Linked DNA regions of Arabidopsis thaliana. The protein of the gene in region 2 interacts with the protein of the main gene of each other region in a pairwise test. Each region holds a gene or a part of one and is shown on either strand. Other genes may lie near its edges.

Region 1 (4,190 bases), on a different chromosome or scaffold from region 2:
TGTGACTATTTTCGTTTGTGTATATATGTTGAAATTGGTGATATTTAAGGTTTTTGTGAAAGAGATTTGTGATGTCTTAGTTTTATGGGATGTGGAAGGGGTTGAATATGGTGATGATACAAGAGTATTGTGGACTAGAGTTTCAGATCTGGGATTCTTCTCCCAGAAGTTGAAGATTAACCCTTGGCTGTCTGAGTATTAATTCCCCTTTCACCCAAAATCTTATCTTTTGATTGGTTTGAAGACAAATTTCTCTGTTATTGTTTTTTTTTGTTGGTTGATGTTTTTCCACTTATAAGCTTATGATGATAGAAAACAATTATCTTAGCGGATTTCAGTGAGGTTTTTCAATCAATGATCTGAATTTGTTACACACACTGAGGCTTTTTTTTTTTTTTAATGTTTGGCTTTTGTTTAGTTGGATTATTGTTAATAGGTTTGATTGATGTTTGTATGTACTTGTTTTGGGTTATAAAGCTGATGATGATAAAAACAATTATCTTAGCGGATTTCAGTGAGGTTTTTGAATCAATGAACTGAATTTGTTACACACACTGAAGCTTATTTGTTCTTTCAATGTTTTTTGTTTTGTTTTGTTGGATTACTGTTATGGGTTTGATGATGATGATGCAATGATGAGATGAAAGCACGAAGAGTGTGAGAAGAGCAGTGGGTTTACCGTGAGCTCTCCTTTAAAACGACTTCTCCTTCCACTGAGCATTTTTTATCAAAAATTTTGCCCTATTGAAGAAAGAGTTTTAGTGTTTTTTGTTTTTGTATTGGCGTCCATTACCAATTCTGAAGGATAAAAACAGTTCCTTCAGGTATAATGGCTTGTGACGCTATATTGGTTGTGGTATATCCTGATCTTTTTGCTTTTTTCCATGCCTTTTGATCCTGGAAATGCCTCGCACATTATATCAATTGGTTTTGTTTTTCCTCTTTTTTAATACCGGAAGAGATTAGCTAGTTATTCTTTGATTTTCAGTTGGTGGAAGGGCTTTATGAAAACAATTGGTGTGTTTAAATGTTATGTTTTCTTCACTACTTTTGCAAAATAAGTGGTTAACAAAACAATTGAAAACTATGAGCTGATTTTTGGACGAATAATGGATTTAGCGTTCCTATAGAATTGATTAACAAAACAATTGACTTATCAGGAAACAATTGTTTGGTCGAATGAGCTGCTTTTTGGACATCTAATGAAATCTTTTGGCAAACAAACAATGACAACCAGACTGGTCATGCCATGAGCGACCTTTTCAGCTAATGCCAGCAGTTACTGTCTGTTGAATTGTTTACAAGTACATTTAGCCTTTTTTGGCATGGAATGCATTGGGAGATGTTTCAAAAATAGTACATTTAGCCTTTTTACTGAGGCTGGTAAAAAATCGTAAACGAATATCAATCGTTGTCACAAAGTTTTCTCTCTTAAAACATGATCGCTCACTAGAATTTCAATCATTTAAGTGCTTCTAACATCTCATATTTTAAGTTGTGAAAACACACTTAGTAAAATTAGTGAGAAATAGATACAATAACTATCCATAACCACAGGTTAATGAAACCGGACTAGTATGCTGCAAACTCCTAGATCCATTAAACCAACACTCGGAATAAATTGCTTCGAACTAGTCTTATTACTCGGATGTTTTGAATAACAAGAAAAACGTGTTCAAAATTAATGACATTTACACGTTTTTTTATTAACAATTCTCGAAATTCTTGCGAGCCACAGAAAGTACCTAAAGAATCAAACAAAAACTCCGAATTGTATGGTCAACCACATTATGACATCAACAAAATCTAAGGAACAATAAAACCACACGTGACAAAAGATACCCCGCGTGGCAAACCCGCTTAACAAGGTGGACCCCACACAGGATAAAAACAGAGCAAAACCTTTTCTTCTCTGTTCTTTCTCATCTCCTTCTCACTGGACTCTCACACACCCTTGTAAAGCTTCTAATCTCTGGAACCCTGAAACATAAACAATTTTACACGATTATTGTTATACTCTTGTTTAGAAAAAACTCTGTAATTAACTGGTTATGAGTTTCTAGACATTGTGATTTTAGTACTGATTCGGTCTCGAGAATCCACATTTTCTTAGTTTGTGAGTGTTTCTCTAACATTCAAACACAACCATGTATTAGTCACAGTCACAGTCACACATTAAAAAGATACATGAACCTATAATGAATCGTAATTTTGTTTGATCTCTGAATGTTCTGTTTTTGTCTCACGATCCTTCTATGCTATAGGATTTTAGGTGTGTGTAGCGATTGGGATTGAGAAATCGTTATTTCTTTGGAGTTTTGTCTTCGAAGAAGTATGGAGGCTCGATGTGACTTTTGTGGAACCGAAAAAGCATTAATCTACTGCAAATCTGATTCGGCTAAACTTTGTTTAAACTGTGACGTTAATGTACACTCAGCGAATCCTCTGTCTCAAAGACACACGCGATCTCTACTCTGCGAGAAATGTTCCTTACAACCCACGGCAGTACACTGTATGAACGAAAATGTTTCTCTTTGCCAAGGATGTCAGTGGACCGCTAGTAACTGCACTGGTTTAGGACACAGACTTCAGAGTCTGAACCCTTACTCTGATTGTCCTTCTCCATCAGATTTCGGCAAGATCTGGTCTTCAACTTTAGAACCTTCTGTCACAAGTTTGGTCTCTCCATTTTCTGATACCCTGCTCCAGGAATTAGACGATTGGAATGGTTCATCAACTTCCGTGGTTACACAAACTCAGAACCTTAAAGACTATTCTTCTTTCTTTCCTATGGAATCTAATCTTCCAAAAGTGATAGAAGAGGTGACGTGTTGTTTAAGTAATATATCAAAATGTTTCATTTATGATAAAGAAGAATGTTTTTCATTTATATTCCGTTCTATATGCAGGAATGTTCTGGTTTGGATCTATGCGAAGGGATAAACTTAGATGATGCGCCGTTGAATTTCAACGCAAGCAATGATATAATCGGATGTTCATCACTTGACAATACCAAATGTTACGAGTACGAGGATTCTTTTAAGGAAGAGAATAACATTGGCCTTCCTTCATTACTGCTTCCTACTTTATCCGGGAACGTTGTACCGAACATGTCACTTTCGATGTCTAACCTCACAGGAGAAAGCAATGCGACTGATTACCAAGATTGCGGAATTTCACCAGGGTTTCTCATAGGAGATTCGCCATGGGAATCGAATGTTGAAGTTAGTTTTAATCCAAAATTAAGGGATGAGGCTAAAAAGAGATACAAACAAAAGAAATCAAAGCGCATGTAAGTTTTTGAGACACATAATCAGAGTCATTATCATGCTTTTAAAACATAATCTCATTGATATTTGTGGTACCAATTTCTTCTAGGTTTGGGAAGCAAATAAGATATGCATCACGCAAAGCCAGAGCTGATACGAGAAAACGGGTCAAAGGGAGATTTGTAAAATCTGGAGAAACTTTTGAGTATGATCCGTCACTGGTGATGTGAACTAGTGAATCTTCACTGCGGAACTAAAGAATAATCTGACTCCATCCACGGGATTAACAGTTTCTTGTCGGAGAAGTAACAAAAAAAAAACATAAAATTCTCTTCTTGAGAAAGTATACAAGATCAAACTACAAAGACTTAAAATCATCGCAAAGGTGATTCCAAAATGGAGATTAAAAAAAAAAAAAACTGAAAGTTGCTCTTTTTACTAGAGAATTTCCACTGTTTTTTGATGCAACCACAAAACCTACCGGTCATACAGGCATTAATTAGGCATACAGCTACGAGACGATCAGACAAAATCAGAAACCAAAAAACAAAACAAGAGTCGTTGACTCTTTCCTACTTATAGCTCCTTAATCTCAATTACATGTTAATCATAGAAAAATATATCTTCTTTGTGTTTTGGACCACTCTCCACCTTCCATTTCACTTGATTGTAATTTGTAACGTTGTATTGTTTTCCTAGTTAAGAAAAATAAAGCCAAAGAATAAAGGCAGATTATGTTTGCCATAGGAAGATTTGTTCTTGATTTCTTATAGCTTACTATTGGGACCGCATTATTTTACTATTAAATCAATATGTTTTCTAGGTGTTCATATATTACTTTTAAGCTTTAGAATGAAAATATACATTCTTAGAACATTTCCAGAGAAAAAACCCTACCAATATTTAATCTTAATTACGCGA
Region 2 (5,142 bases):
AGGGAATCTGCGATTAACGTGAAGAAAATTGCGAAGAGAACAGAACATTTTCAGGAAAAAAGTTAAAAGTGAATAGAATGAGCCTCATGGTTTAACTCAGAGACATTGTATTCTATGGTATTCAACTATTCTACTGAAGAGGAAGGAAGGAGAAGAAGAAGAAGAAAGTAGGGTTTATGAAGAACTCTGGGTTTTGTTGCTTTTTTCCACCAAGTCTATTTCTTTACCTGTTGTTGTTCTTGTTTGTAAAATAATGATTTATGGGCCTTTGGAAACGGGCTACATAGGCCCAAAAGTTATAATTCTGGGCCCAGTCTTCTTTTTCTCATAACATTTTTTAACTCAGGGTTAATTAGATTGGTCGACTAAATTCGTAAATACTTTAAAGTTGATTGGTGGAAATCAGTTACATAATTACTCATGTTATGGAAAGGGCAAAAACAATAATGCTAAAGTGGTATTACATCATTCATGGTATGCAAGTGCAAAAACAATAATGATAAAAGGTGTTAAAAGCTAAAATAAGTTATTTACTGTAAATACTTTTTAATTTGAGGAAAAAGTAATATATCAAAACAGATTAGAAAACAGTAAAACTCAGAAATATGATATGGTGTACTTGTACCATTGTTTCTTTTCTTTCTTCTCTAGTGTTACAATTTAAGAAATCACAGTAAGAAAAAATGGCGACTAAAACTCAGTGCCAAGCCAAAGATAAAAGCGACTCGTATTATTTGCTCTACGACTTCTTCTCTCCATTTGCATTAAGCAGAGAGAGAGAGAGAGAGGAAAGGAGCAAAAGCTTTTTTCTGTGTTACTCTTTCTTCTTTTATGACAACATCTCAACGGTCTTCTTCTCAATGTCTTCTTCACCCTCACCTTCACCTCCTTCTGTTGCTTCTTCTTCTCCTTCCTCAGCCGCGTAAACTACTTCTTCACCTTCTTCGTAAGCGTATTCTCCTCCCTCTTCTTCATATCCTTCTTCGTAATAGTACTCTCCGTTTAGCTCATCGCCTTCATAAGCTTGCTCGTCTTCATTTCCTTCATACACTTCCTCCCCAACAATTTCTTCTTCCTCCATAACCGTTCCTTCTTCTTCTACTTCAGCTTTGGGTTCAGAGACAACCTCGGTTTTCTCTTCGGTTATGAGTTTGATCTCATCTCCAGCTTCCTCTTTCGATATCGTCTCGTCCTTGTTGTTGTTTCTGCTACCACCAGATGCGGCCGCTTTTTTTCTCTTGAGAATCTCACTGAAAGGCAATGGAGCTGCAAATGAATCCCTTGATCGCTTATGACTATGATGATCCTCTTCAAAGCTTTTCCTCTTCCCAAGAGATGGCTCTGGCTTACTTTCCTCTCTGCTGCTTTTAGGAGCTGATTTTCTTTCGTCTTCCATTTCTCTTCTTCTCGCCCATGGAGCCCCGAAACCTCTTTCCTGATTACCACTATGGTTTTCCTCTAACCTACCCTTAATTCTATCTCGGAGTCTACCCTGAGAAGGTAACTCGCTTCTGTCCCTTCCCCTCTCACTTCTCCTGTCAAAGTGGTGACCCTCTTCGCCATTGCTTCTCTCACGAAGCTTAATTCTACCCTGAAGACGACTACTGCTAATGGAGTTTTCCCTCGGTGTATCCCTACGAGACTCTCTATATCCTCTGTCCATCGAAGAGTCAGGAGCAGCATAGTCATGGCCTCCTACTGATAATCTCATACCATTGCCTTTTCTCTGCTTAGCCAAACGATATCTCAGATCCGATTCCAGTATGTTCTCTGATCTCTCATCTTCTGCGTAAACCCTTCTGTCCAAACGATCCTCTCTCTCAGAAGAAACTCGACGATGGCCCCATCCCCTGTCTTCCCTCCGATCATATGAATCAAAACGTTGTTCACGTAATGCTTCTTTATCACCATCAGCAATTGCACTGAAATCAGGGTCATACTCTGAGTTCCCTCTCTCCTGACTTCTACGTCCATATCGATCTTCAACATGATAATACTCAGAATCTCCAGCCTCATTATCCACAAGAACATCAAACCCAGGAGACGACTCTCTTAAAACGTCATCTGCATCCTTACCATTGTGGAAACTGTTATTATCATCAGATCCATATTTCTGAAGCAACTGAGTAGAATGGCCTCCTTCAGTAAAAGAAGGGAATCCTGGACCCTTTCTCTGCACAACAGGCTCATATCCCACATGGTTTGGAATGTATCCCTCTACACTTCTACTATCCCTTAGTCCAGTAGAAGCGACTCTTGGTGCAGCCGATATGTCAGTATGTCCTTTAACCACCTTTGAGAGATTAACATCAGGAAGTTTCTTCTCCTCAGTGTTATTTTCAATTGGCTTTTTAGAACACTGAGGATCAGTAGCAGGCTTAGCTTCTACAGGATGCTGTTTTTTATACGCAGCAGGATTCGGCGTGTGCAAGAACGAACACATATCTCCTTTCATACACATGCCTTTTTGAAAGAACAGACATGGAACAGGCTGTTTTGCAACACTAGGATGCTGCGCGGTTGCATGTATTGGCTGTACAGAAACAGCAGGAGCACCTCCTTGATTTCCCAACAATCCCTCCAAAGGCTGTAAGAAAACAAAACCACAAACATAAGCACACTTTGATAATACAACTCAAGAAGCTCAAGCAGAGACTATCTATTGAGGAAGAAAGTAAACTCACAGGATGCCGAAATCCACATTTGGGATTCAAACAGTTTCCATTCAACCAATAATAGCAATCCCTCGGGTTCATACGCGCATACTCACTGTGGCGATACTCGCATTCAGGTCCCTGTAAGCAAAAAAGGAAGAAACCATAAGAATCGTTCTTCAGCATAAACATACACATCGAGCAAAAATCATATTCACAGAACATGAAAATCTCCTTTATCAGAACATCCTTATAAAGCTTTGTATATGTAATTTTCAATCTAGCTAACAAGAAGCCCTAAGAAACAACAATACTTAGAATCACGAGGTTCGAAATCACCAGATCTAAATCTCGCACCAAAATTAAGCAGATGGAGAAGTGAAGTATGTATAGATAGCTTCGAGGGACACAAAAACACAGAGAAACTTGAAATCGGGTGAAAGAAACTTGAGATCTCAAATCCAAAACCCTAATTGAAGCAGAAACTGGATAAGATCTAAGCGAAACAATAATCAAAAATCAATTACCTTCTTGCAGGTTAAAGGAGAAGCGAGAAAGTAAACGCAATCGGTGTTCCACTTCAAAGCATCTTCTTCAGCAGATGAAACAGTCTCTGATTGCTTCTTCTGCTCATGTTGCTGTTGCGGTTGAGTCGCAGGCGCAAACATTATTATTACTTGGAAATTTCTGAATCTCTCTTTCAAGTAGATCGCAAGGTTTCAGATCGAAACCCTAGGAAGATCGAAAATCACCGATTCAGAGAGAGTCCCGTGGAAGAAGAAGAAGAAGACGAGCCGCCACAAAGAGCGCACCAGAGAGAAACTCGCGACTGTGTGTGTGTGCCCTTTAAAGCTAAGCCTAAAAGTTTTTTTTTTTGGCTCTTTTTTTTTCTTATGTGATGGGAAATATCAATAGATCAAGTTCGGTTTATTTGTAATCAATCAAATACTGACACGTGGGGATTTATTATTGGTTTATTTGTTAGCCATATTGTTTGCCTTGATATTATAACTTCTGATGGAACCAGCGACTTTGGAATGTTGTGAAATAGACAATGATAAGGTGATTTAAACCGAACTTGAACCAAAATTGTAAACCGATTGGTAGATCTTTTACAATCAAACATTGGTAAGGAAATCTAACCAAAATTAAATCCAAACCAAAATCAAAACTTTGGTTTTCACTTTGGTAAGGACATCTTGAACCGAGTAATTCGAAGATCTCTCAAAACCAAAATTTGAAGATGTACAAAGCAACTAAAAGATCACAAGAAATAAGTTTTTCAAAGCTTTTATTATACAAATGATGATAGAAAGATGTGTTCTTGAGAATTAACAACATCACATTCACAATAGGATTGGATTTAAGAACAAAAGCTAAAGCAAGAGAACAACAATGAAGGTACTTTGCCTGTTCTTCGGATTTGTTCAGCTTGTTTCTCTGTTTTAGCTGCCTGATGATCCTTCTTTGCTTCAGCCGCTGCTCGCTTTTCCTCTGCTTTGCGCTCGATTGTAGCGAGTTTCTTCATCAACCGGTCTTGTGCTCGTCCCTTAATCCTCTCAACTTTAACCTACAATATCAAGAACTCCACCATCATCATTCATGTTTTTCCAAGTTTGTTCACAATCATGACTTGAACTTACGTAGCTATGTTAGTGTAGTTTACCTCGGTTTTCTTCATCTCGGCTTCAGATTTCGCCTTCTGATGATTCTCCCATGCTTGAATCTTCATCTCTTCGCGTCTGAACCTGGAGATTACAGAACTCATCATAAGCTTAAAGTTTCGAGAATAACTAGAGGACTATGACAAACAATTCAACTTTGGACTACCTAGCCATGTGCTTAGCTTTTTCCGCTTCCTCCCACGCTGTAGCACGAGCTTCAGAAACACTTTTAGAAGTTTGTAGAGAAGCTTTGGTCTTTAATGATGTGGATGCGTCTTTATCTTCATCCTCCTTGCTAGCCCAAGCAGCAATGTTAAATTTACCAAGTTGAGTACCCAACACCATTATCTCTCTCCTAGTTTTCATTTGAAGCTCTTTCTCTGACAGTTCCTTGTTACTCATAGGAGAAGCTGATGCTTGTCTGCCTGGACTTGAAGGTTCAGAAGATATAGGACTTCGTATTGGCGTTGTTGCCCTAATCGGTGTCCCGTTTCTAGAAGGTTCTTGGCTCGCTATAGGAGTCATTTCAGTTCCCATGTCTCTCATTGACACAGACCTTGCCGTTGAAGGCGGTTGAGCAAACGCAGTTGCGACTGACGAGTCATGACGGCTGAGATTAACTGCAAGAAAGCAAGTAAAATTGGCTTTAGAAGATAAATAGAGCATACAAACTGAATAACTCAAAGAGCTAGCTAACACCACCTTCAGTTGCTGATTCTACAATAGAGTTCTCAACCATAAGAACCGGTTTGACATATGAATCCACGGTAGTGTACGAATCAACTTCCCAGCTACCAAACTTGTTTCCCATATCCTTTTTCACT
Region 3 (5,478 bases), on a different chromosome or scaffold from region 2:
AAAGCTTGCAAGTCAGATTACAAAAAGGAAAGAAGAAACAGAAAACAAAATCCATAAAGATCATCTTTTTCAATACCTACCGACAAAAATCTAATCAGCAATCAAAAACATCAACCGTTGGACGAAATTACGGAGACACAAAGGTCAACAAGTTCACAAAACACAAACCCGTAATAACGAAACACGAACAAGTGATGGAAAATATCGCAGGAACTAACACAGAATCGGAGAACAGTGGAATCGTCGTGAGAGAGAAGAAGAAGAAGAAGAGAGATTCTTACCAGGGAGGAAAAGGATTGGATTTGAAAATCCAGATGAATAATTGATTAAGCGTAAAGATTCGAAATCAGTAGCAGAGAAACCAAAAAAATTATCTTCAAAATTTGAGTTTGAGGCAAAGCAACGCTAACCCTAAAAGAAAAAGAAAAAAACCTTTTTTGGCCGAATCAAAATTGTACCACATACTTTCTACGAAAACTAGTCAACGGCTCTGATTTTTTCTCATGTGACGAAATCTCCTAGTCACACATTTCCGAACCGCCTTTTACGACTAAACCGGACTATCATAATATTTTGGGCCTAATTTGAGCTTTATTAATAAATGGGCCTTACTTTGGTTATTTTGTAATCACTGGGATTTACATACTCAATTCGGTCAAACCGGTAACGGTTTAGGAGCAAATTTAAACAAAAAAAGGCTCATTACTGGCTCACTGTATCTCTTTGGGGACCGTTTAGTTACCAAAATGAAGAGAGCTCTAACTTTTACCAATTACACGATGCAACATTTTCACATCCTAAACCGGTTTCATCATATATCTATACAAACCGGAATTTCCTAATCTTCCTTTGTACCTTTCTTTACTTAATCCATTGACGAGCTAGATTCGTCAGTCTCATCGTCCCCGCTTAAACTAGAAGGCAGTTCCACACCAGACCTACAAACATAACAGTATGATCCAATAAGCCGATTTGATATCTCTTTGGGACAATAAATGCATTACACAATGGTTGGTTACTAACCGATTTATCTGGCTTTTTCGTTCAAGAATCTCGCTGTATGATGATGATTTTGGTGCATATACTTGCTGAATATACCCATGTTTCACTCGTTTGGCAACCTATTAACATTCGTTAAAGGTCAGAACACGAACTTGATAGAGCCTCTAAACTTTGTTAAAATATACATCAATATCTATATTTTTAAGATAGTTAACCATCAAACTCACCGGTGGTTCATCAGTCGAATGCAATTTCTCTCTCTGCATTTTCATTTGATTCCTCTCCCCGTGATATATTCCTGCCTTTAAAAGAAGATATCACACAAAACACAAGTCATATTTCCATAAAAGGGCAAGAAAGGAACATGTAGACATGGAAGTATTAGACAAATCTTTACCATCCCAGAAGATGGACCTCTATCCATTGACTCAGGGGATCTGCTTCTACTCGGAGGTAACAGCTTCGAAGATTTAGTGAGATATCCCGTCTTGCGTCCGCCATTAGATATATTATTATCATAATCATGAGACTGATTGGTTTCAATATTGCTTCCAGAAAGATTTTGGACGTTGGCAACCAGATGGTTTCTCGACCCTTCAGCCCAACTTTTGGAACTTATCCAACCCTTCTTGCTGTTAGTTACAGGGATTTCCCGTGGTGAACCTTTGAATGTCTCTTTAAACGATTTGTGGCGAGGTACAGAATTATAGAAACTGGTAGAAGGGGATTTCAGTCTTGGTTCCCCAAAACTTTTCTTATCTCTTAGACCAGGCTCCATTCCAACCATTATGTTGTCATCATCATCATGCTCATCATCCTCTGAATCTGGATCTGGCGAATGCAACTTTGATTTACGAGCTAATTCATAGCTCTATAAAGACATTAAGACAGAAAACGAAAATATTAATAATACTTCAAAGAAAGTAAGATAATTTAGCCAAAGAATGTGATGGCAGACTAAGATTCTAGTTTATATTATCTTCATGGGTATGTAGTATACAGAAAATGTTCACTTACAGGACCAGGATTAAAGCTCTTCCTCGTTCCAAGTAAATGTGGAAGGTGAGGCCGTCTCTGATTCCCAACATATATTGGCTCTGACAAAACAGTTGATAGAAAAAGCAATCAAATCCGACTGGACATGGGTAAAGGCATTCACAATCTGACACACGAAGAAGATGGTTTTAGCTTCTCTGAGCCACTTACTCAATACTCATAACATCATAAACCAGAAAATTAAAGGTAAAGTTGAAACATTTTATCATGACTCACCGTGAACTATAGGATTAGTCTGAGGCTCAAATGCACCGGGAGGAAGAGGATCAAATTCAACCCCCAGAGGTGGACCATCCTCTTGGTATTGTCTTCCTAATTGTCTCTTTACGGCAGTGATAGCAAAATTCTCACTCTCTCCCTTCACTTTCAAGTATCCCGAAGGCTTATTATACCCATAGCTTCTCATGAACTGAGGATGCTGAATAACGTCTTTATGTGCAACATATCTAGAACTTTCCACATCGCGAATTCCATCTTTGCTAGAGACAAGATTCTTACGTAATGATGAGCTACGATCAGAAGATGTACTATCTTCACCATCAGCATTTCCCATATAAAGCCTTTGACTTTCAACTTCCCTAGGCTTGGGGTTCCAATAATCCGTTTGCTTTGTACTACCACATGAATCCTGTCGAAGCCCACTTCCACGATCCTGAAGAACAACGCTTGACCGATCTTGGCTCCCAATGGCATTCCCATCTTCTTTTACATGACGTTTGTCTTTTAACCTTCTATGGCAGAACCAACCTGAAACTTGCTTCTCAGTTAATCCAACTTCCTCTGCTAACTTGCCCTTCATTTCTTCAGTCGGATACTTATGCTCTGTAGAAAAACCAAATCACACCTGTAAAGCATATACAACTTGGTATAAAGGAACATATGCAAACAACAAAGCCATAATTTACCATTGTAGAAATTCTCAAGCGCCATAACTTGCATAGGAGTCTTAAGCTTCCGTTTTTTGCTGTTTTCTGTAGAAGCTTTATCGCCATCAGCGGTCGCTTCGCCTGAATCTATCGAAAATAGCACATAAAAATCAAAAACATAAGAAGATAATAGTGAAACACGGACACCATTCAATAACCAAGAGATGCAAAGCCCTGACCAAAATCAATTTCATTTTACAATCATGCTTTGTGTATTTAGAAATGTTGCTAGTAATTCCGAAATTCAGGTAAAACATCTACACAAGCTTCACATAAAAGGGTTTAATTTCAGAATTATGGCTCTTTCTCTCATCAGCCAAATACTTCTAAACCCAATCAAAACGAACGAAAACTTTGGAATTCCTTAGCTTGAATAATTAGTAGTACCATAAAACAAACCAAAAAAGGCTTAAAATTTCCAATGCCATTGATGAATTTCGCTAATTAAAACTACAAAAACTGGGAGTTGCATTGTAATTCGACGAACTCGGGATCATTAAAAACTATTCTCTCACGTAAACTCGCAGGAAGACAGAGATTGAAATAGAGGAAAAAACGAATTTCACCTGAGTGCATAGCGAAAATTCCCAGAGATTGAAGGAACAAAACCTAATCAGCTCCCAAAAACCCAGATTTTTTTCTTTCTCCTTCTTCAAAATTCTGGTTTTTTCTTATGAGAGGAGAAGAAAACTCTTCTTCGCACACAAATGACAAATCTCTTGAGAACCATACCGGTTTCAGTAAACCGGAACATGGGAAATACGTGAACCGGGTAAATCTAAATTTGGGCCTTATTGTGGGCCTAAATTGGACAACGAAGGAATAAGAAGAAGAGAGGCGTCGAATGTTTCTTGTGACAGAACCGCCATGGCTACAGCTTCAAGGTTTCTTCTACGGAAATTGCCGAGGTTTCTCAAGCTGTCTCCAACTCTTCTCCGTAGCAATGGCGTAAGAGTTTCAAGCAATCTGATTCAAGATTCCATAGAACCGTTGGATTCCTTCTGGAGAATAGGATCTCGAATCCGCCATGATTCTTTGACTACCAGAAGCTTCTCTTCTCAAGGTCCTGCTTCTGTCGATTACAGGTACTTTAATATTCTCCATTTTGATCTCCTTTATTGTATCTGAATCGTTAATTTCATGAGAATATGAACAAAGTGGAAGAAAAAAACAGTTCGGTTTTGCAGGAGGAAGAGTTTCACAAATTAGCCAACTTCACAATTAATCACCTTCTTGAGAAAATTGAGGTATTTGAAGCTGGAACCTTTTTCTCTCTAGGGTTCTTCGTTTTACTTGAGATTGCAATAGCTTACACTATGTTCTACTTGCATGATTCATGTTCAGGATTATGGTGATAATGTTCAGATTGATGGTTTCGACATAGATTATGGGGTAAGGATTAAACTCTTTTAAGCAATTTAAGATCTTGTTCATATTTCTGGAAATCTATGTGTACTTATTATAGTCAGTCCTTTTGGCTGTTTCCAACAGAATGAAGTTCTTACCCTTAAGCTTGGATCTTTAGGCACTTATGTACTGAATAAGCAAACTCCAAATCGACAAATCTGGATGTCTTCACCTGTGAGGTAAAGATTCTTTCTTGCCTTTTGAAAGTTGCTAACTTTAGGCGCCTAGATTGAATTTCGCATCTGGATTATCATGTTCTGCTCTCTCTTCTGATTTTTGTACTCATGATATTTGGAGAAATGAAACTGTTTATGACTGTATAGTGTTGTTGCTCTTGACTTTGTGCTTCCACATCTTAGATTCACATTAATGTAATCTTCATTCTTCCTTTTGTCTCGGTGCAGTGGCCCTTCTAGATTTGACTGGGACCGTGATGCTAATGCGTGGATATATCGGCGAACTGAAGCAAAGTTGCATAAACTCCTGGAAGAGGAGTTAGAGAATCTATGTGGTGAACCAATCCAACTCTCATAAAGAAGGCTTTAAAACAATATTTGTGAGCGAAAGGGTTTCATCTATGAACTTGAAACTGCTATACCCTGTTAAAGGTATATCTATGAAACATCCAGAGGAATAAACAAACAAGGCAGAAGACAAAGTTGTTTTAGTGTGAAAACTGATTAGTGTTTCTGAATCTATTTTTAAACAGTAATGTCTCATAGTGACATTGTTGCAAGTCTCTTTGTTTAATCAGAGCTGAAGCTGCCTTTTACAGGTTTACGCGTTTTAGATGAAAACATTTCTTTTGAACGACAAAAGTCCTACATTTGTCAAAACTCCTCGAATCTCACAATAATTTCGGAAAAAAGTTGGTTAACAATGTTTGCAGGGTCAATCTCCACTTCTTCGAAAGCACCAATAAGGACAAAAGATTGACTTCTTCAACATCATTGTCCCCTTTTTCCAGTAATTCACGTTTAGGTACCCCTATGTCTCTCTCATTGTCAAAAAATACTCTAAAAGTACGTATTATTCAAAAAATGTTGGATCTTTTTGAACTATTTAGAGATCCATCGCGGAAAAAGTT
Region 4 (5,273 bases), on a different chromosome or scaffold from region 2:
AATTCTGTAGGTACATTTTCTACCGGTCAATTCAACATCCTATTGTAATTTCCTTTTAAGTAAAAGTTGTATAAGACTCTTTCACAATTATTTATTCACTATAAATACCACGAACTGTACCATTCTTACCAACAAATATATATTTCTCCCACACACATAAATAAACACAAATCATGAGCAATATGAAAATAACAAATAGGTTTATGCTAGTGGCAACATTCATAGCATGTGTGTTCATAAGCAGCATGAACATGACGGTTGGAAAAGTAATTGGGTATCCAGGGTTGAAGCCTGATCTTCCTTGTGATCATCATCGGTATCCTTCTGCATGTGCACCCTCCGAACAACCAGTGAATCCTTACAGACGGGGATGTAGTAAAATACATAGATGTAGACGCGATTCACCCCCTGCACCAATTTCTAGAAAAATGTTAATACGAGGTCAATTAATTTATAATAATGCATATAATGCATATATCCAATATCCATGAATAATAAATTTATGGGTTTGGTTGTGTTTAAGCCATGTTGTTCTCTACATCTACACATTTACCTTAATATTTTTCAGCATGTATTATTGTATTACGATATATACAGTGGTGAAATCTTGTTTTATCATTCAGTTTTGTTCGATTTAAGCTCCTTCTTATTAATGGTAAAATAAAACAAATCAGATCACATATATTCATAGCATTTAAGGACCTAGTGTGTCACACGTGTGAACCTGTAATGTTTGTTATACACAACAAGACAATGATTTTTGACTGGGCCCAGCCCACACGAGGGTCCTAACATCTCTCAACAGGGTTGGTGTTTTTGGGCCCAGGTGGACCCTTTTATCTCATTCTCCTCCTCCTCCTCACGTTTATATGAAATTTTTCACCTATATAAATTTAATCAATTTTATTTATATAAAATTCTTGACATGTAGATTATAAGATTAAGATGAAGTCGTTGTCAATTTGGACCTTCAATTTTTTATGTCAGATTCTTCCATCGTAATCATGCATGGGGGCATGAACATGATGATGTTTAGCAATAAATGATGTTGATGATCATTATGCTGTTATAATTTTATTATATATAATTTGCATGGAGCCATTTATTTATCAACGCTATTATTATTATGCTCCTTTGTGAAAAAATACTACATTACCATATTTTAGGGTCGACGAAATGGGCATGACATGTACCGCCGCCCATACCACATATGGTTGACCATTTACTGTTGAGTTAGTCGTGTTTGGCCCTCCCCACCGAAGATTATATAACCCAATACACATAAGAATTAGTTAGCATTTGCACCTGCATAGAAAAAAATTAGCACTAGATTAAATTATTCCCAGCATTATACTATATTATAATCATTGATCGGAAGGAATGTTTCCTAATTACATAATTGGTAATCATGTTTAACGCACAATTACTTGAATTAACATGAATCCCTAATTATCTATTGACTTCACAATAATCCATGAATTTAGAGCCAAGACAAGGCCACAGGGGCACATGGGAAGTATAGTACGAAAATGCTATGGCAGACCAGGACTTTTAGTTCGTTTAAACTTTAAAATTTATTTGAATTCAATTAGTATTTGTCGGCATTTTATAATATAAGAAATTGAAAATAGTCTTAAAAAAAGGCAAGCATAGGCCAATAGGCCTTGTGAATGGCGGACCCCATAAGAAGGACAACGAACGAATCGAATCCACGGGAATCAAAACACATGTTTGAAGCTGACCACTTTCGATTTCTTTCCCATCTGTGGGCTCCATTATGTCTTAGCTGTCATTTTTTAATTCCATTTTCATATAAACCATCACCAATTAAATAAAAATAATCTCCGACAAAACACTCTTTATTTATATATTTAGTCTTTTTCTTCTTTTTTTTCTTTGCTATTATTTTTCATCAAATTGATATTTCTGTTTTTGATATTTTTTCAAAAGACTCGAATATCTTTTGCCGTAAAAACTGATTAAAGTACTAAAAAGAAGAGGTATACCTTTTTATGCGAGTGGTAAAAATGATTCATATTTCAAGTTTGATTAGAATTTATTTTGGGTGGATAAATTCGACACAGAAAAGGAGAGACTGTGCCAAGTTGGCCTTTGCCCACTGGCTTGGCCGCAATTATTCTCAGGAAAATGACGCCATTCGTGACATCATTCTCTCCCGACAACACTCCTTACGGTCCAACCAATCCCAGCATCCACCTGGCAACATCACCTCCGTTCAAATAATCATCCTCAATGATCAATTCCATATATAATTTTATACCACACACGATCCAATATTTAGCCCTTTGTTTCTCTACACACATCTCACATCCCCCTATCTCTCTCTCTCTTCAAACGTTTTAGTTCCCCAAAAAAATATCAAAAGAACTAAAAGAAAAACCCTAGAAGCCGAAGAATCTCCTACTCGTTGTCGATCGGATCACCTAACTAATTACTCGTTGATAATCATTATATCGAGAAATATGATTAATTTTGAGGCCACGGAGCTGAGATTAGGGCTACCGGGTGGGAATCACGGAGGAGAAATGGCTGGAAAAAATAATGGTAAAAGAGGATTTTCTGAGACTGTTGATCTCAAACTGAATCTTTCATCGACGGCTATGGATTCAGTTTCCAAAGTCGATTTAGAGAATATGAAGGAGAAGGTCGTAAAACCACCAGCCAAGTAAGAAACTGAATTTCAATCTCTATTTCAACTAATAATATTGTCTTCTAGGTTCGGTAAAATTAGGTTATACTAGGCGGTCATTATGTAGAGATGTATACGCTTTAACATGATTTCTAGCTAGGTTAGGGAACTCGAACGGAATAATTATGCTGATACTTCTCCTAAGATCTTTGTTTTTTATTTGGTTTTGCTCCATGTTTCAATTGTAGTTAGGTTGAGAGTCTGTTTGATTATTTTTTTGTCGGGAAGAACTAGAAAAATACAAAACATAAGGAATCTTTCTTTATCTACCAAAAAGATTAAAGATTAAATAAACTTTTGGACAACTACAACCACCTAACATCCGACACGTGTAGAACAACTAGATCATTTACAAACATTTTACAAAAAAAAGAAGTAATGAGTATTATTGAAATTAAAAAAAAAAAATCATTACGAAATTTCAGGGCACAAGTTGTGGGATGGCCACCGGTACGATCTTTCCGCAAGAACGTCATGTCCGGCCAAAAACCGACCACCGGAGATGCCACCGAAGGAAACGATAAGACTTCTGGCAGCAGTGGAGCCACCTCATCCGCCTCCGCATGTGCCACCGTGGCTTATGTGAAGGTTAGCATGGACGGTGCACCGTACCTACGGAAAATTGACTTGAAACTCTACAAAACTTACCAAGATCTCTCCAACGCCTTAAGCAAAATGTTTAGCTCTTTTACCATAGGTAAATAAAAATTGACAATATATCTATCTACTAAAACATGATCCTTTTTATCATATATTGTTTGAAATTTGAAATTTTATTTTTCAGGCAACTATGGACCACAAGGAATGAAAGATTTCATGAATGAGAGTAAATTGATCGATCTTCTAAACGGATCAGATTATGTTCCAACATATGAAGATAAAGATGGCGACTGGATGCTTGTAGGAGACGTACCGTGGGAGTGAGTATTTTTATATCTTTAAATTTATATATGAATTATTATTATAAATACGTCTATACAAAATATTTATTTACATGTTGTTTGGACTATTTTAGGATGTTTGTTGATTCATGCAAACGTATACGAATAATGAAGGGATCAGAAGCAATCGGACTTGGTTAGTATTGTTTAATCCAAAACTGGTGGTGTAAAATTATACTATGAATCTTTGCTAATACTAATTTTCTATATATTGCAGCTCCAAGGGCATTAGAAAAGTGCAAGAACAGAAGTTGAGTTCTCGACGACATTTCGTGTTCTTACCTAAAAAAGGAAGAAAGCCTGTTTCGATCGGTTGGATATCTCGAACCGAGAAAGCTAAACCGGCTCGAAACTATTGTTCCGAGCAAGGAGTTTGCTTATAATATTAATTAATAATAATATTAATATTGTGGTGTATTACATTTTAAAAAATTAAATCGTTTTTGTTATATGTATTATATACATATATTAATATGTATATTTAATTAGGTTGCATCTATTTCCGTTAAAACCAACTTTTGTTTTTACGCATTATCGTGTTGTCTATATGGTCTGTGTCCGTAAGGCATCTTAATGTGTTACTTTGACGTACCAAATTATTACTTACATTATTTCATTTCTCAACAATCTTTTTTTATCCAACATTTTCAACCACCTTAAATTATACCTTTTTGTTTGTTTATTCTTTATTTTAGTAACTTTTCAATAAGTGGAGCTAAATGACATGAGATGGTTAACAATCGTAAAACCAACAAACGGAAGATTAGTAGTGCGGATCTTTTTGTATCAATGTAACTCGAAGACCAATTATTGTCGTGCGTATATATAAGGTTGGCCTCAACAGGATCCAATTGGTGTTTAGTGTCTATTTCTTTCTTTTTTAATAAGGTTGGCCTGGCCTCAATTATTGTTTTTTTTTATTTCTAATATTACATTTATCAATTTTTGGTGTTTTTTCGGTGAAACACAAATGAAAAAACTTTAAATAGATCAAGGTAATGTGGGTGGTGGAAAGGGCAAGAGCATGTGGATAATGTAGAGTTGTTGGGGGACAATATTTTAATGAATTCCGAGTAAATTAATAATGTCTTTAATATGTATGCTCCATTATTGATGCTTTACGCTGTCATCGACATCCATTGCCTCAACAAACAATGGTTGATAATGATGATATTTGTTTTATTTATTATTTATCTGATTTTTTAGTAAATTTGATCTAGTTTGTATCCTTGGTTGTCAAATTCACCACATGTATTTACTTGTTTGTAGAATACTTAGTTCAATATAAATTGGCTGATTTTGCTCTCGTTGTGAATTACAACTTGTAACTTAACAAGTACAAAATGCACAAAAGATGGTTCTCAAAAAACAGATTCACAAAAGATGATTACAAGAAGATGAAAGATACACAAAAATAAACAAGAAGCACAGCTTCGTCCCAACAATAATTAAGTAATTTGGGGGGAAAAACATTTTGGGCCATGGTTAACACTAGGGAAAAAAAATTGGGGCCTTACATTTTCTCATAATAATGGGCTTTTCATCAATTTTCTTAAATATTAATGGGCCTTTGGCCCGATAACAGCTACCCTATCCATTTGGTCCGGGCACTCTAGAATACT

What was found.
Region 1: the proteins of AT2G02160 (region 2) and BBX9 interact in a two-hybrid assay, tested with the Arabidopsis thaliana proteins (one large-scale study listed by BioGRID).
Region 3: the proteins of AT2G02160 (region 2) and AT4G03250 interact in a two-hybrid assay, tested with the Arabidopsis thaliana proteins (one large-scale study listed by BioGRID).
Region 4: the proteins of AT2G02160 (region 2) and IAA16 interact in binary tests that used the Arabidopsis thaliana proteins (3 or more experiments, as listed by UniProt).

What each region holds. Positions count from the first base shown.
Region 1 is NC_003075.7:8,709,251-8,713,440, reverse strand, and holds BBX9 (B-box type zinc finger protein with CCT domain-containing protein), read left to right. Parts: upstream 1-1,914; 5' UTR 1,915-1,956; exon of another isoform or gene 1,957-1,961; intron 1,962-2,264; 5' UTR 2,265-2,334; coding exon 2,335-2,823; intron 2,824-2,909; coding exon 2,910-3,292; intron 3,293-3,378; coding exon 3,379-3,499; 3' UTR 3,500-3,674; downstream 3,675-4,190.
Region 2 is NC_003071.7:552,578-557,719, forward strand, and holds AT2G02160 (CCCH-type zinc finger family protein), read right to left. Parts: upstream 3,555-5,142; 5' UTR 3,323-3,554; coding exon 3,182-3,322; intron 2,796-3,181; coding exon 2,685-2,795; intron 2,588-2,684; coding exon 830-2,587; 3' UTR 509-829; downstream 1-508. Other genes in the region: EMB2794 (Tetratricopeptide repeat (TPR)-like superfamily protein), read right to left, coding at 1-48; AT2G02170 (Remorin family protein), read right to left, coding at 4,018-4,224, 4,321-4,402, 4,485-4,938, 5,021-5,142.
Region 3 is NC_003075.7:1,423,132-1,428,609, reverse strand, and holds AT4G03250 (Homeodomain-like superfamily protein), read right to left. Parts: upstream 3,709-5,478; 5' UTR 3,561-3,708; coding exon 3,551-3,560; intron 3,072-3,550; coding exon 2,964-3,071; intron 2,881-2,963; coding exon 2,275-2,880; intron 2,100-2,274; coding exon 2,020-2,099; intron 1,874-2,019; coding exon 1,400-1,873; intron 1,305-1,399; coding exon 1,230-1,304; intron 1,122-1,229; coding exon 1,024-1,121; intron 939-1,023; coding exon 866-938; 3' UTR 548-865; downstream 1-547. Other genes in the region: FH (frataxin-like protein), read left to right, coding at 3,852-4,069, 4,159-4,231, 4,329-4,376, 4,476-4,570, 4,796-4,925.
Region 4 is NC_003074.8:1,287,626-1,292,898, reverse strand, and holds IAA16 (indoleacetic acid-induced protein 16), read left to right. Parts: upstream 1-2,007; 5' UTR 2,008-2,483; coding exon 2,484-2,686; intron 2,687-3,135; coding exon 3,136-3,407; intron 3,408-3,494; coding exon 3,495-3,630; intron 3,631-3,725; coding exon 3,726-3,787; intron 3,788-3,868; coding exon 3,869-3,906; 3' UTR 3,907-4,744; downstream 4,745-5,273. Other genes in the region: RALFL21 (RALF-like 21), read left to right, coding at 174-491. UniProt on the Arabidopsis thaliana protein: Aux/IAA proteins are short-lived transcriptional factors that function as repressors of early auxin response genes at low auxin concentrations.